Linked DNA regions of Tamandua tetradactyla. The protein of the gene in region 1 purifies or fractionates together with the protein of each later gene. This does not show direct contact. Links are inferred from orthologs where the notes say so. Each region holds a gene or a part of one and is shown in the gene's direction. Other genes may lie near its edges.

Region 1 (7,813 bases):
AACTTCAGGAATACAAGTCTGGGTCACCTCACCTAGCAAAGAACATAGCCAGCTGAAGTGCTTGCTGAGGGTAAAGGAACAAGGAATGCGCAGAAGGTAGTGATAAATATGAACTATGACCATGTGACTAGCTAAAGAAATGAGGACTGTGATTGTATGAATATTTCCTTGTTTTATTATGAATATGTTTGTATTTGTACATAAATATCTTGTTTTCCTCTTATCATATGACAGAAGTTGTATTGTTCATCTTATAGTATTTAAGTCACAGGATATGAAGTTTAGAGTGAATGTTACCTAATGACTTGTACCCTATTTTGGGGAGATGTAGTGCACTTTCGGTTGTTCGCAGGACAGTTGAATATTGTTAGATGAAACATATGTCTGTTCTTGTGTTCATTTGGAAATTAACCTTGTTTCAAAGTGATGTGTTAGCTGCCAAGTTGACAAGGGGAGGAATGTGATGATTAGGTTCTGGTGTCAACTTGGCTAAGTGATGGTATACAGTTGTCCGGTCAGACAAACACTGGCCTGACCATAGCTAAAAGGATATTTCATGGCTGGTTGATAAACCAGAAGGCTAGTATATTAAATCATCAGTCAGTTGACTATATCTGTGGTGATTACATCTATGACCAACTAAGGCAAGTTTCCCATAAGGAGATAATGCAATCAGTTGGGAGGTTTTAAGGAAGAGGAGGGACTCTTTCACTGCTTGTTCAGCCAGCAAGCCCCTTCTGTGGGCTTTGTCCAGACCTTCATTGGAGCAGCCAGCGTCACAGCCCACCCTACAGATTTTGGACTCTTCCATTCCCATGGTTGTGTGAGACACCTTCATAAATCTCATATTTACAGATTTCTCCTGTTGGTTGTCTCTAGAGAACCCTAACACACAGACCAAAAGCTTGAACTTGATAACTATATTTAAGGTGGTTATATAGGCCAACATCTTTGTTCTTAGGAAATGTGCATGGAAGTATTACGTACAACCTACCTTCAAATGTTTAGAAAACTAATAGACATAGATAGAAAGATAAACATAGATCAAGTAGGTAGATAGATAGATAAAGACACAGAGTGATAGACAGAAAAATGTTAAAACTAGTGGATCTGGGTATATAGGTGGTAGGTATGTTGGAGTTTCTGTATGGGTTTTGTGTTATTTTTTCAACTACCTTGCAACTTAGAAATTATTTGGAAATAAAAACTTTAAAAGAATAAAATATACAGTTCACTGAAGGAAATAATTAACATGAAAAGACAAGCCACAGACTTGAAGAAGATATTTACAATATATATAACCAACAAAAGATTTGGATAGAGAATTTTTCTAAAGAACTTCTACAAATGAATATGACAAAAAAAAAAAAAGAAAATGAAATGGGCAAAGGTGGTGAAAAGCAATTTGCAGAACAAAACTAAATGACTAATAAACTTATTTAAGAATGTTCAATCTCACTAGGTATCAGAAACATGCAAATGGAAACAAAATACAAACATTTCAAATATCACATTGGCAAAAATTAAGTCACAATACTAAAAGTGACAAGGATGAAGAATAGTGGCACTACTGATAGGAGAGTAACCACTCCAGAGAGTAATTTGTTAAGATCTAGAAGACTTGAAGAGATGCACGCCATTAGACATGGCAATTCCACATTTAGGTATTGAGAGAAACTCTTCCATATGTGCAAAAGGAAACACAAGAATGATTATTGCAGCATTATGACAAAATATTAGAACAATCTGAATGTCCATTCATTCAGGAGAGTAAGTTGTAACATGCTACTGAAAGATATATGAATGTCTAAAAAAAAAAAACAAATGTTGAACGAATCAGTCTCTTGTTACTATTGAGTTTTTAGGCCTGGGTCTGCTGAATTCAAATGCAGCCTATCAACTTAATGCTTTTCATCACTTTTCCTCAGTTTTGTCTTATTTCTCTAAATATTAACATATGCATCAGACAAACATTACTATGTACTGTTTACTCATGCTTCTTAAGAAAGTTAAACATAAAACCACCATATGATATGACAATTCCACTTCTAGGTGTCTATACCCAAAAGAACTAAAAGTAGGGAATCTATATATTGGAGAGATATTTGTACACCAATGTTCACAGCAGTGTTATTCACAATAGCCAAAAGATGGGAGCAACCTGAATGTCCAGAAGCAGATGAATGGATAAACACAATGTGAAATTATGGTCCTTAAATACCATTTCCCATTAAAGGAACCAGGGCACCTTGGAAAGCTTATCATGGGATGGGATAAAATGTACAAGATGAGCATGGAGAGCAAAGACTACTACTGCTGTATGGAAAGGACTTAAAAGCCAGTATAACTTCTGGCCCATGAACTCCAAAAAAAAAAAAAAAATGAATAAGCTCCTACTAGCATAAGATAAAACAATTTGAAAATAATGATGATAGCTGCAATGAATTACAACTCACCAAATACATTTACATCTCTGAGTTCATGAGATAGCTGTTCACCAGGAATTTTTTTTAATAGTGTAAGGTCATGATTTAATATTATATTCCATTAGAGTAATCATTCAATTCAACATTATTTAGTGACTTGTTGATCCTTTTCTCACTAATATGAACACTATTGTCATCTATCCAATTCCCACATAAATGTGCACATTTTTCTAGCTCTCTGACCTGTACCTTTGTCTATTTGTCCATTTTTGTGCTAATCTAAGATGGTCTTAATTATTATGCTTTATTATATAACTTGGTATCTGGTAGGGCAAGTTTCTTCAACTTCATTCTTCTTCAAAATTGTCTTGGATCCTATACATAAGTTTCTCTACGTAAATGCAATAAATATTATGAATGCAAAAGCAGCAGATTTATACAGCCTATTTTTAAAAATCACTAGCTATTGTACACTGGAAATACGAAAAAAATTAACTGATAAATGGATAAACAGCTAGTAATACTAGATCACAATGTCATACAAGATTAAAAGTTGTATTTATTACACCTGAATGATATTACATACTTTTTTTTAAGGAAAAATATTTATGGCTTTTGAGCTTTGAGATTTAAAATTTCCCCTAAACTGGGCGGGCTGCGGTGGCTCAGCGGGCAAAGTGCTTGCCTGCTATGCCGGAGGACCTCGGTTCGATTCCCGGCCCCAGCCCATGTAACAAAAACGGAGAAACAGAATACAATAAAACAAGAAAATGTTTAAAAATGTTTCCCTTTCTTCCTTCCTTCCTTCCTTCTATCCTTCCTTCCTTCTCTCTGTCTTTCCTTAAAAAAAAAAAAAAAAAAAAAATTTCCCCTAAACTGAGAATATTCATATTTTACTTTTTTTGGTCAGGACAAGAACTAAAAAAAGAGAAATAGACTTGAATTCACAATGAAAAATTCTTGCTATGTATACTTTCTAGATTACATATTTCCCCACAGATAAGAGGAATGTTTCTGAACATCCCAGAAATAATGACTTAGAGCAAATACCCAAATATTAGCAAAAACCATGCGCATTTTGAAAACATTTGGTCACTGAGAGTCATAGCATTTCTTTTTTCCACATCCATGAATGGTTACAAATTCTTTCTTTTTATTGTTAACATTGGGACAGAGACATGTTCTATGAATGGCAGGCAGAAATGACATGTGCAGGAAATGGGAAATGGTTCAGGGTCTTGGAATTCCCCTGCTTACATAATTAAGAGACTTAGTTGTAAGTTTTTGAAATACTTGTCCTTGGAGTTCCCCTGAAAGAAGAAAGCATCTGAATTAATTGACAAACGTCTTGAGATTATAAATTTTTTAAAAATTGGGTCATTGCAATATGACAAATATTTACTGTCTGCCACTGTGTTCCTGGAATTATTAGGGAGCAAGTGAAAAAATGTCCATGCCTAGTAAGACCAAGATTTTGCATTTCGTCTATCACTTAACTATTTACACATTTTATAAAGGGGTTCCGCACCGGTTCGCATACACCATACACACACGTACACACATATACACATGTACATATATGTGTATGCATAAATACCATTTTATTCAAACATTGAGAGAAATTTGGGAGTTAAGATTGGTCTAAAATACTGTTCGCTGCTAGCGATGGGCATCTGAAGGGCACTTTCTCTTTAACGCATATGTCTCCAGAACAGAAAGCCAAAGTTTTAAAAACAAAAGTTACACTCGTCGATTATAAACACATCAAGTGTTCAAAATTAACCTTTTGATGCAGTTCAATTTTCCAACACTTGGCTGGTTTCAATTTACACGGTTACCGGACGAAAAAAAAGACACTAGACTCCATTTCCAAATACAGTCATCTACGAGTGGAGGCGTCAGACTAAGGCAATTTCGCCACTGGCTGGATCATAACTCCTGAGGTGACATGGAAGAAGAGGCACAAAATCACCGGCGCAATGGCGTTGGCGCAGGGTTTCCCGAGACTCAAACGCAACGGAACACGAAAAAGTGCCTCGTCCTCCTCAGAAGGTTGTTAGGGACAGGGAGAGGGAAGCGTTAAAAGTGGCCAAGCCACGAGATGAAAAAGCAAAACACCTAATTAATGTGGATAGTCCCACCTCACGCCGTGGGCTGAGCGCGCAGCTCCAGGTGGACTACCACGCCGGCTTCGCTGTCTCTCTGCGTCTCTCCCTGAAGCTCGGCTAGTCTGAAAACTTCCAGCGCCGCCTGCTCTTCGGCGTCAGGCTTTTTGCAGCAGACCCCTCCGCGGTCGGGAGGCGGTTGACGCGAGCCGGGCGCGCTGACGTCACCGTGCGTTGGCGTAAGCCCTCCAGGGCCCGGGGGGTGGGGGGCGGTTTTAGGAGCGCAGGACGCGAGCCCTGCCTGGTCTGGCTTGGCCTGGCTGCTATCTGCGCTGCAGCTGCCAGAGCCTGAGGAGGCCTCTAAGCAGCCTTGGCGCCGCCGCAGCATCGCTTCCGTCTAGTTGCGCCGGCATCACGGTGAGTGCAACTCTTTGACGGCCCTGGCGGCGCGGGTTCGCGGGAGGCGGCTTGGGGCATTCCGGCTAGCAGGGAGCCACTTCTCTGAAGTGCGGAGGTGCGAGGAAGGCCGAGGCCTGGGGGCTCTTAGCTGAGGGTTGCGGGTCGCAGTGAGCTCTGCTTTCTGCCTTTGACACGGTTTTCATTTAATTCGGAAGCCCTAGCTTCAAGGCATGCAATCGAAAGTGGTTTAAAAAAATTGAGTTGTTTTCACGCAGACTCTGGCCACCGCCCATTTTTTCAGCCCTTGGTGTTTGGCCAAGTTGTTTTCTCTCAGAGGTTTTGCAAGGTTTTAAACTTAGCTTTCGGTATTCCTTAAATTTAAAATATTTAAACGAAGACGGCCCTGTGGTGGCGAGATCTCACATTTCAGAGTTAACAGTTGCTCTCTGCCCTTCTGTAGACAATTGTTTATTGTGAAAAATAACCCCGGAAAATTAATGACTAAATCCCATAGTTTCTCTGTTTTTCCCTTCTGGTCTGCACCCCACACAACCCCCACTCCTGACTGTCTATAGTTTGCATAAAATGGTAAAATCATCAATACAGTGCTCGTCGATAGAAATCTATAATTTAATATGCGATCAGATCTAGTGTAATAAAAGCATTCATGTTAGTGGTCACAATTCCCGAGGCCATTGTTTCACAGGCCATTGTGCTGTTTTGTTTTCTGTGGTTGTGGCTTTGTAATTATAGGAGTTGTAGAGTTTAAGTTTTATATAATGAGCTCCTGATGCATTTTACTCTTACTAGACTAGGCAATTTGCCTAGTCCTGGAGAGACTTGACATTAAAAAATAACATAACTGTCTAATAACTTCTGTGTTCTTGCTGATGGGTATAGTAAAGTCTTTTTTCAACATTATCTGTTTTTTTCACCAACAAACTGTCAGAGATATCCTTAAACTACTAAAAAGTTTTTACCAGAAAAGGTGAGGAGACTTCCCTTTGTGGAAATGTCCGTCTGCGTCAAAGTTGTACATTTTTCAAAGATGTAAGTGCTAATGAGAGGATATTGCATTTATTTAACTTATGAGCTTTTCCAGTTACAACATTTTGGTGACAAATAGCTGGATTCAAGATGTATTGTCTAAAGTATAAATTCTGTGATTCTCTTTTCAATAAAACTAAAATTTTCTAAAATAGCTTTTGTATTTTCTTTTCAGATTTTACAACCTTGAAGAATCTACTTCCCTCAACCCCGCCCCCGGCAATAATAAATCCCATTATGGAAACTCAGACACTATAAAAAGGGATATAGTTTGAGTTTTGTGGAGTATAATTTTGTGTATGAATTATGTTTAAAAACAGAAAGGCTAGTCTGTTGGTAATACAATATTTCTGTTAGCATTTGTCATGATACCGGAAAAGACAAACTGTGACTTTTGATGAATTGATTGGTTATTTACAAAATGAATGATAGAGATGCATGATTCTTAAAGGAAAGATAGATAATTTAGTTTTTACAAAGACAGGAAATGTGAGAAGTTTCTGCTGTTGAAATTTTATGGTTAATTTTTTTTGGCGATATACCTTCAGATAATTTTAGTTGGTAAAGTATAATAAAGTGGTATGCAAAGTTAGTAAGAAATAATAATGATGCTATAGGAAGAGGAATCAAGTATAGAAATATGGAATAATTAACAGTTTGTGAGCTCTACGCAAAATTTATTTCATTTGATATGATACACCATTATAAGCTTAGGTTCAACAAAGCTTGTGAGTGTTGGCTTCCCTAAAAGTTATTAACTGAAGCTTACAAAACCCACTTACGTATTATGGGTTATGCTGTGAATATAAGCTTTGTGAAATTAGTCTTTAGATAATATGGCTATATGAAGACTTCAATTATTTTTGTTTACTAGAATAGAACAAGGTTTTTTTTTAGTACCTTACTTAAGTGCTTATAGGAAAAGAAGCCTGATGCATATCATTTTCCCCTGTCTTTTAGCATAATCAGTAATTGGCCTGATATCCAGGCATTGTAGCTTGTAACCAAAAGTAAATTAAAGGCACAGTTTAAGTGGCTTGGAATTTGGTAACATAAGCCTCTTTTAAAAATCAGGGGGGTTTTAACATATTTTCAGAGGTACATCAATTCTGTCAGGCTATTAAGTTAGTATTACACTAAATTATAGGTAAATAGCACTTGGGTGACCTAAAAAAGTTAACATAATCCCTCAAAATATTAAGGTTGCATCTTGGTACAACCTAGGAGAGATAGTCATTTTGAGTGTGTAATCAGGTGTAAATTCAGTAAAGAAGGTTTAGTGAATTCTAGATAAGTAAGCTATAATTTGTTTCCTTTTTGTGATAAAAATCTAGTCTGAAGAGAAAAATTCATGTGAAGGCTTTTAGCCATCAAAAAGTAAAAGCACCTACTCATGCACAAAACTACCTCCCAAAGACTTGACCCAGGTCCCTCTCATCAAAAATTTGTGAGTAAAATGGAAGATAGCACAATCTTGACAAATTGGACAAATGACAACAAACAAAAAATGAAATACGACTTTTCATGTGAACTCTACCGAATGTCTACATATTCAACTTTCCCCACCGGTGTTCCTATTTCAGAAAGGAGCCTTGCTCGTGCTGGTTTTTATTACACTGGTGTGAATGACAAGGTCAAATGCTTCTGTTGTGGCCTGATGCTGGATAACTGGAAACAAGGAGACAGTGCTATTGAAAAGCATAAACAGCTGTATCCTAGCTGTAGCTTTATTCAGAATCTAGTTTCAGTTACTAGTCTGGAATCCAACTTTAAGAATACTTCTCCAGTGAGAAACAGTTTTGCACATTCATTATCTCCTACTTTGGAACATAGTGG
Region 2 (7,576 bases), on another chromosome or scaffold:
CCGTGAGGGCTGAGCGGGCAAAGCCCACGATGAAGGTGTCTTCGGGCAAAAGGCCATCGCGGAAGAGCCACCTGCCAGTGGAGCATGGGGAGGGCTGAGCGGACCGGGCTGGGCGTGCCCCCCACCCCAAACCGCCTGCTGGGGGTGGGGGAGGAGGCCTTGGGGGTGGGCAGAGGGGGTGGTGGGGGGCGCACTCACCAAATGGTAGGGTAGATCTTCTTCTTCGCCAGGTCACCCTGAGTCAAAGGGAACAAGCGTGGTTAAGGGCAGCTGGAGACGGGAAAGGGGTCCCCCCTCGCCTCTGACCCCGGCCCTGGACGTCATGGAGCTCTAAGCGGATCTATCTCGTCCCCATCTGTAGCCAGAGGGGCCCCGAGGTTAGGGATGGAGCTGGCCCCTGGGGCTGCGTGCCCCCCTGCGCCCGAGCCCACTGCTGTCTCGGACAAAACCAAAGGGCCACCAGCAAACAAAAGGCGACCCCATGCTCCCAATCAACTGCTGAGACAAAGAAGAGCGACCCTAAACGAGCGCCAAGAAACCTACCAGGTAGCAAAATACGTGAGGCATGGCCTTCGAAGTTTAAATTGTAAAGATGCACGGATGACCAGGAAGGGGATAAGGTGAAAAAAATATTAAGAAAATGGAAAACAAACCACCAAATCAGATCGGCCGAACCAAAAGGTGGTGCTTGAAACGGAAGACTCAGAAGAGCGAGCCCTGCAGCAAGAAGGCTTTTTAAAAGGTACACGTAAATAGGATCAGGAAGGAGAAGGGGAGAGAACCACTGACACGCAACCCAGAAGAGGAGCTTATGAACAGCCTTATGCCACGCCCAGCAACCCCACTGAAAGGGATAAGTTTCTAGAAAATTCTGACCTACCAAAATGGACCCCGAGAAGGAGGCGGGGCCCGGGTGTGTTTCACCTATGGGCTCTGCCCAAAAAAAGCAAGGAAGAGAGAATACCAGTGTGCAACAGACTCTTCCTGCAAACAGGAAGGGGAGCAGTCTCTGTTGCAGGTTGAACTGTGCCATCACCCGTCCCCCAAAAAACCAACACCACATAAAGCTATGTTTGAGCTCTAATGCCTGGACCCGTGAATTGTTTGGAAACAGGGCCTTGTGATTTTGGACCTCTGGCCTTCAGGGCTATGACACATGAGAGCGCCATGCAGAGAGTATTGGCAGTGATAGGCGCATTTAAGATGCTTCTGGTGAGGCTCTAGAAGGAAGTGACTGGCGTGACATTCAAGTGGCAGAGAACCTGACTGTATGGGGTCATAGGGTTGGGTTGGGAGTAGAAGCGGGAAGCCATGAACTTCGATGGTTTAGCTGAGGAGCTATCCAAGCAAAGCCGGGACGGCACCTCTGGTTTACTTCTGGCTGCTTCTGGGAAAATGAAAGAAATGAATCGGGGACCGAACCGTCCAACAGAAAGGAGATTTGGAAAATCTCAGCTCAGCTGGGTAGTGTCCCGTGGCGACAGGACTGAGGGGGCGGCTGCATGGCCATCTAACGCAGCAATCGAGGGGTGACTTATCAACCCTATCGACGGCCTCGGCACAAGTCAGGGATTGAGGTGGGGTTATCCAGGAAGGAACTGGGCAGAGAGCCCTCATTTCTAAAGGTGGGTCTTCCATGGAAGGTCGACAAAGTTTTTGAGAATTTTCTACTGGCAGAAACACAGCCAGCTTGGAGTGAAAGGGACAGAGACGGGACAAAATAAAGAAAGGGTGACTCCCGGGCCACCGAGGCCGAGGGGGTGGGCTGCGACCACAGCAGGCTCAGAGGGCAAAGCACGGAGCCATCAAGGACTCTCAGGCCTTGTAATGGAAGCGAATTTGCCCTATGGGGCTGTGAACTTGCTTTCGGCTGCTGACCCCTCCTCCTCCTTCCAGCTCCCCTGTCTCTGAATGGGAATGTCTATCATCTGCCTGACCCACCACTTGTATTTTTGGAAACTTGTTTTCTTAAGTCTTACAGGTTTGTGGACAGGGTGGCGATTTTAGGTCAGCGCTTTACACAATTGAGAAGGTAAACTTTTGGACTGAGCATTGATGGGAGGCCAGGATGGGGTGCATGTATTTGGCACCCAGGAGGGATGTGACTTTTGAGGGGAGGGAGGCTCAGAGAGCAGACTGCTCTGGGTTGGGCCTGTGCCCACTCACCAAATACAAATTCAAGTCCTAAGCCTGGTCCTGCCAACGTGACCTCATTTGGAAATTGGGTCTTTGAAGATGTGGGCAAACTGGACTGCCAGATTGGCCTGGAGCCAATCTGACTGGTGTCCTTATAATAAGAGGAAAATATGGACAAAGAGACAGATAAGACATGAGGGAGAAGACAGCTCTGAGAAGACAGCGGTGGAACTGGGGTGCCACCAAGAGAGCCTTTAGAGGAAGCACCACCCTGCTGACACCTGGATTTCAGACTCGCAGCCTCCAGAATTGAGAGAGAATCTATTTCTGTTGTTTGAAGAATCCCCTCCCCCCAGCCCTGCAAGCTGGTGCCACTTTGTACCTTCAGCCCCAGGAAACTAAAGAAGGCTCCCAATCTTTTTATGTGGCCAGCAGAACTTGGATACTGAAAGCATCGTTCACATGCTCAGATGCAAATGCAAAAATGCCAAAGAAAACATCAGCAGACCCAATCCTGCAATGCTAAAAAATATAATACATCAGAATCCAAGGTGGGTTTATCCTGGAAATAATGGAAGTTATCTTGGAAATACGTTGGCTTGGTATTAAGAAAACAAAAATCAATCTTTGAAAACCACCCCACTGACAGATTAAAGGAGAAAAGAAAACACTAGAAAAAATCTTTGCCTGCTCTATAGGTTGATGTTTTTTTAAACTAGCAACGTTGCTAAACTCAACAGATGTAGAAAAAGTGCTCCAGACAATTAAATATCCAGTCATGATAAAAGCTCTTTTAAATTAGGAAAAAAAAGGAAATTTCCTTAACCGGTTAAAAAAACAAAAAACAAAAAACAACAACCTATGGATGTCATACATAACGTGGAAATGTTGAAATATTTTCTTTTAAGAAACTGGGAACTAGAAAAGAATGCCCACTATTGGCTCTTCTTGTCAATGATGAACTTGTGGTCCTAGCCCGTGCAGTAAGGCAAAAAAATGGAAAAGGTATAGGGATTGGAAAGGAGAAGCCAAACTGGCCTTGATTTGTGGGTGAAAGTCTACCCAAGTGAAAAAACAGAAACTCCCGGCAACCCGCTGATTAATTCACAGAATTAAAGAGAGTTTAGCAAGGTTCTTCCCAGAGGAGAACTAAGTAGAGGGAGCATGTTCTTTCATCTGCCAAAGCTGTAATTAAGAGAGCGTGGGGATTGCGTGGGGGTGAGAAACCCACGCTCCTTTGGAGTGCTTCTAGTCACTGGGGAGAGAATATTCTAAGCAGTGCAGGGGAACTGACAATGATTACCAGAACTTGCATCTTGACTCTTACCAGACCAAAGAACAGACTCCTGGGATTAAGGTCCTGACTATGAAAAGCAAAATTAAGCTTTGAAGCTTCCCTGCAAAGACCTATCTGATTTTAAATGAACCAAACACCCTATCTAACAGGCTATTGTGGAAACAACTTTTCTTTTCCAGGCTTTGAGGCGATTTGGGAGATGTATCTGGCCTGAGCTATCTGATCCTCTCTGAGCTCAAAGGAATGTTCTAGAAGGCAGGTGTAATGACACTCCCCGCCTCAGCCCAGCATTGCCTGTGGAGAGGCTAAGTGCCAACTCATTTCTCCTGCACCCCCACCAGAGGCTTTTAAAAAGTTAAAAGTCACCCTAGACCCCCAAATTAAAATAATGACCTGGCTGGGTCATGGTTTGATGAGTCTACGTCTCTGGGACGGTTGCAAGATGTAGGACCGAAATCAAAAGAATTCCAACCCTGTTAAAATCCCGCCTACCCTGCCCTGCCCGAGATTGGTGGAAAGGTGCTTGGGGGGTTCTCCTGGTGGGGAAGTTTCCACACTGTGCCTCCGCCACACCTGCCAACTACTCACTCTTTCTACCCTGTCTTCAGGCACGAGATGGGTTAGGATGCCCCCGTCAGACCTTCTTGCCCATTGCCTGCCCTCATGGTGGTCCACTGTGGCCAAAGTAGGTGGCCTGCTTTGGGCCTGCTGGGTGGCCCTTGGACTTGCACCTCTGGGGGCACCTCCACCCAGCACATCAGGGGCTGTCCTTGCACCGCCATCCTCTCTGTGTCCCCCAGCACCCGCTGGGGTGCTCCTCAGGACGCACTGGCAGTGTCTGCTGCTGGGGGGCATCTACTCCTATCACGGGGGCTTAGGGTTGTCCCCCCACCCCCAGTTCAGAAAGGACCAGCCCACTGGGAACCAGCACTGTGAACCATGGTCTACAATCATTTCTAAGCCTTACTCACTGTGAGTCTTGTTTGCTTATGATTAAATTCCAATAGGTTGGGAGAAATCAGAAGAGCCTGGGCTATTGCCTGCTGAGTCATAGCCCGCCCCACACCCCGAGCTGTTTGTTCTTGCTGTTCCCTTTGGGATTAACTAGTGATAGAACCTGCTTGCCTTGTTTCGGCTTCAGCCCCTCCAACCCACACCCTGCTTGTCTGCAGTCACCCAACAGAGGAGAGGTAGGATGAGGAGGTGCTGGTGGTGGCGGCGACGGCAGTGGGGGGTGGCCCAGGCAGACCCATACCCCCCTCCTGGCCAGGGGATACAGGGGCCAAGCTGCTCTCCCCAGCCCAGGCTTGGGGGTGTCAGGCCCTCCGCGCTGTCCTGCGCTGACTCTCTCGGGATCCTTTTGGAGGGTCAGACACGGGAAGATGTTAGGAAATCTCACGGCTTGGTTGATAAAATCTTTCTAACCGCAGCCACATGTGGGGGTTGGGGTTAATTGAAGGGTCCATGGTGAGAGGAGGGCGGGAGCTCCCCATCTTTCCCAATCCTCTCATTTTGCCTAAGGACCATGGGGCGGGGGCAGGATATGCCCAAGGCCATGTGGTAAGTTCATGGGAGGACTAGAAGTGATTAGGATGTCAGGCCACATGTTATCTGGCCAGACTGGGGCAAAGGGACCTTGGCCCCCTTTGGTCACTGTTCAAGACTCTGCCTGAGACTTGGCCTCAGCTTCCTGTGGAAGAACCTAAGATAGTTGACCCAAACCACTGCAGATATCTCTCTAGTATTAGGGGTTCAGGGCCCAGAGTGTGGCAGCTAAGAGCCCCAGAGAGCGGCTGCCTGCTGAGACCCATGACCCCTTCCCTCTTTGGGTCATGCAGGTCAGGAAAGAGCCCAGCACTGTGGGGTGGGGCCTTGGCTCAGGCCCAGCTGGCTCCTGATCACCAGGGAGTGAGAACCTGGGGGCTGGCAAGGAAAGTGCCACCCTGGGGCTCGTGAATCACAGGCCTTTGGGGGCGTGCCAACATCATCGTGACACAGCAAGAATTTTATCGGCCCAATGTGTGTGTGTGGGGGGGACTGGCCCAGAAATGTTCCGAGGAAAGGGTGGGGCTGGGGTTGCCAGGGCCATCTCTCCCGGGGCCAGAGTGGGCTGGGTCATGGGCACCCATTCAGTCCTGAGCCCTTGGGATCCAAGTGGGGAAACTGAGGCCCAGAGACGTGAGGAGCTTGTGGAGGAGTTGAACTTGCCCATCCTATTCTCCCCCTCTCCTATTACTCCGTGCCCCACCCCCCTCAATTTGAGGAGGTCCCCTCTAATGGGAAAGGAGGTGCTCTTCAGCCTTGATTAATGTTACTAGTTGGGGGAAGACATAGCCTTCAAGGTCCAGGGTTCTTTCCCCCATGTGGGTCCATAAGGAGAAATAAGCTTCTTCTATTCTAGAGCTTTCTAGACCAGAATCCCTGCCACTGGGACATTTAGCCTCTCTACTCTCACATTGGATTGGGGTGGGGATGGGGAAGGCAGTCCTGAGAAGGGGGGAAGTGGCCACTCGAAGGGGGAACAGCAAGTGGCTCGAAGCCCATTTTGTAACTCATGAGCCGAAGTCAGGCAGTTTCTAGGAAGGAAGCTGGGTAAGCGTTGGGTAAGTGGGGGCAAGGGAGGTGGAAGGGGAAGCTCTTGGCCATGTCGCCGGCCCCCAGGGTGCCTGGCAGCCACCAGCCATCCCTTGCAGCTTGTTCTTGACTTGAGGTTTAGCCTGTGCCCTTGCCTGTCCTCAGGGCACACAATGCTGGGTACAGAAGATGCACTCAGTGGGAGGCCACTGGCGGGATGAATGAGCAGAGAAGTGCTGCTTGCCTAGGGTTGTGGGTTGCAGGAGAACCGGCTCCCAGCACCACTGCAGAGGGAGGAGTGGAGAACGCCCAGGGGTGGGAGCTGTTCTAGGTGCTGCCTGAGCACCGATGCTTTAAGGGAGAGTCCCGCCCATCCTGTTCTGAGAGAGAAAGAGCATAGGCTCCTAGGAGGACCCCGTACCCTTCCCAGGGCTGGGGAGAACAAAGGGAACCTGACTGATGGCTCGAGTCAGAGTTGTGCAATGCCAGGCTGGTCGTGGGAGTCACAAAACTAGCTCGGTGGGGTCCGGGGACCCTTGGTGCTTATTTCAAAAGCCTTCCTCGACTCCCCGGAGATGCTGCGGTTCGAGCAGGGAACACTGCTGGCCCCAGGCCATGTGGCAGGTTTGAGTGCTCTCACTGAGACGTCACAGGGTTGAGGGCCTGGACAAGCCCCAGGACGCTCTCGAGGGGCCCTCAGCTGGTGTCTGGAACCTGGGAGCTCTACTGGGGCATCCGTGTCACCAAGCCAGTATGGGGGCAGGGGATGAGGAGAAAGAATGCCAAGTTACTTTCTCCCTGAACCTGTCTCTTTGACTAAGGGGCTAATGTTTGCAAGCCCCAGTGTTAAGGAGGTGTGGCTCCTTTAAGAAGCCAGAGCCCCAACCCCGCCCAAGCTCCTGGGGTGACAGGGAGTCAGAGGAGAGCACCTGGGGCGGCCCTCCCTTGCCTTTCACTTCCCATCGGTGGAGCCCTTCTCCCTCCCACTGCCTCTTGCCCTGGTTTTTGGCTTGCCTGCCTCCTCCCTTTTGACTCCTGATTCCTGATCAGAAACACACAAGTGGCAGGGAACAGGCTCTGCGGAGGGCAGTGGCAAGTTGTTCTGTGCAAAGAGCCACCAAGTTCCCCCAGCGCCGAGGGGGAAGGAAGCCCGTGACGGAGTTGCAGAGAAATGGCCTCCTGCACCTGCTCGCCGGTTTGGGTCGAAATCTTAATAAATGAACGGTCAAGGCAATTGGTTGACAGTGAACAGGTTCTTGTCACACCTAGGGGTACAAGTGAAAAGGGAAGGGTACTCTGAATTCAAGCAGAAACCCTGGCAGCAGCTCTCAGGCCCTAGGGCTTGCCTCACTGGTCAGCACACCTTGTTTCCATCTGCTCTCAGGGCAAGTAGCTAGGGACAGGGGAGCACGGCTTAACGAGGACTGTACCCCCTGCCTTCCACCTACTTTCAGAGTGCTATGCCTCTGCCTGTGCCTTTATTTTTTGTGGCCTTTCCTATCAAAGCAAAAATGGCAGTTCCCCAAGCAACACGGTCAGGCCAGGCAGGGCTCCTCTGTGGGTTTTAAA

The links. The genes of interacting proteins can lie anywhere in the genome.
Region 2: the proteins of BIRC2 (region 1) and IKBKG purify together in Homo sapiens (affinity purification with western blotting; 6 studies listed by BioGRID and IntAct, with this or other methods). This does not show direct contact. The link is inferred for Tamandua tetradactyla from reciprocal best matches to the Homo sapiens genes BIRC2 and IKBKG.

Annotation. Positions count from the first base shown.
Region 1 is NC_135334.1:40,475,009-40,482,821, reverse strand, and holds the start of BIRC2 (baculoviral IAP repeat-containing protein 2), read left to right. Parts: upstream 1-4,919; 5' UTR 4,920-4,948; exon of another isoform or gene 4,949-5,201; intron 5,202-6,152; 5' UTR 6,153-7,370; coding exon 7,371-7,813. Other genes in the region: uncharacterized protein LOC143644315, read right to left, coding at 4,569-4,919. UniProt on the Homo sapiens protein: Multi-functional protein which regulates not only caspases and apoptosis, but also modulates inflammatory signaling and immunity, mitogenic kinase signaling, and cell proliferation, as well as cell invasion and metastasis.
Region 2 is NC_135353.1:6,923,733-6,931,308, forward strand, and holds the start of IKBKG (NF-kappa-B essential modulator), read left to right. Parts: upstream 1-4,509; 5' UTR 4,510-4,623; intron 4,624-7,576. Other genes in the region: G6PD (glucose-6-phosphate 1-dehydrogenase), read right to left, coding at 1-71, 199-236. UniProt on the Homo sapiens protein: Regulatory subunit of the IKK core complex which phosphorylates inhibitors of NF-kappa-B thus leading to the dissociation of the inhibitor/NF-kappa-B complex and ultimately the degradation of the inhibitor.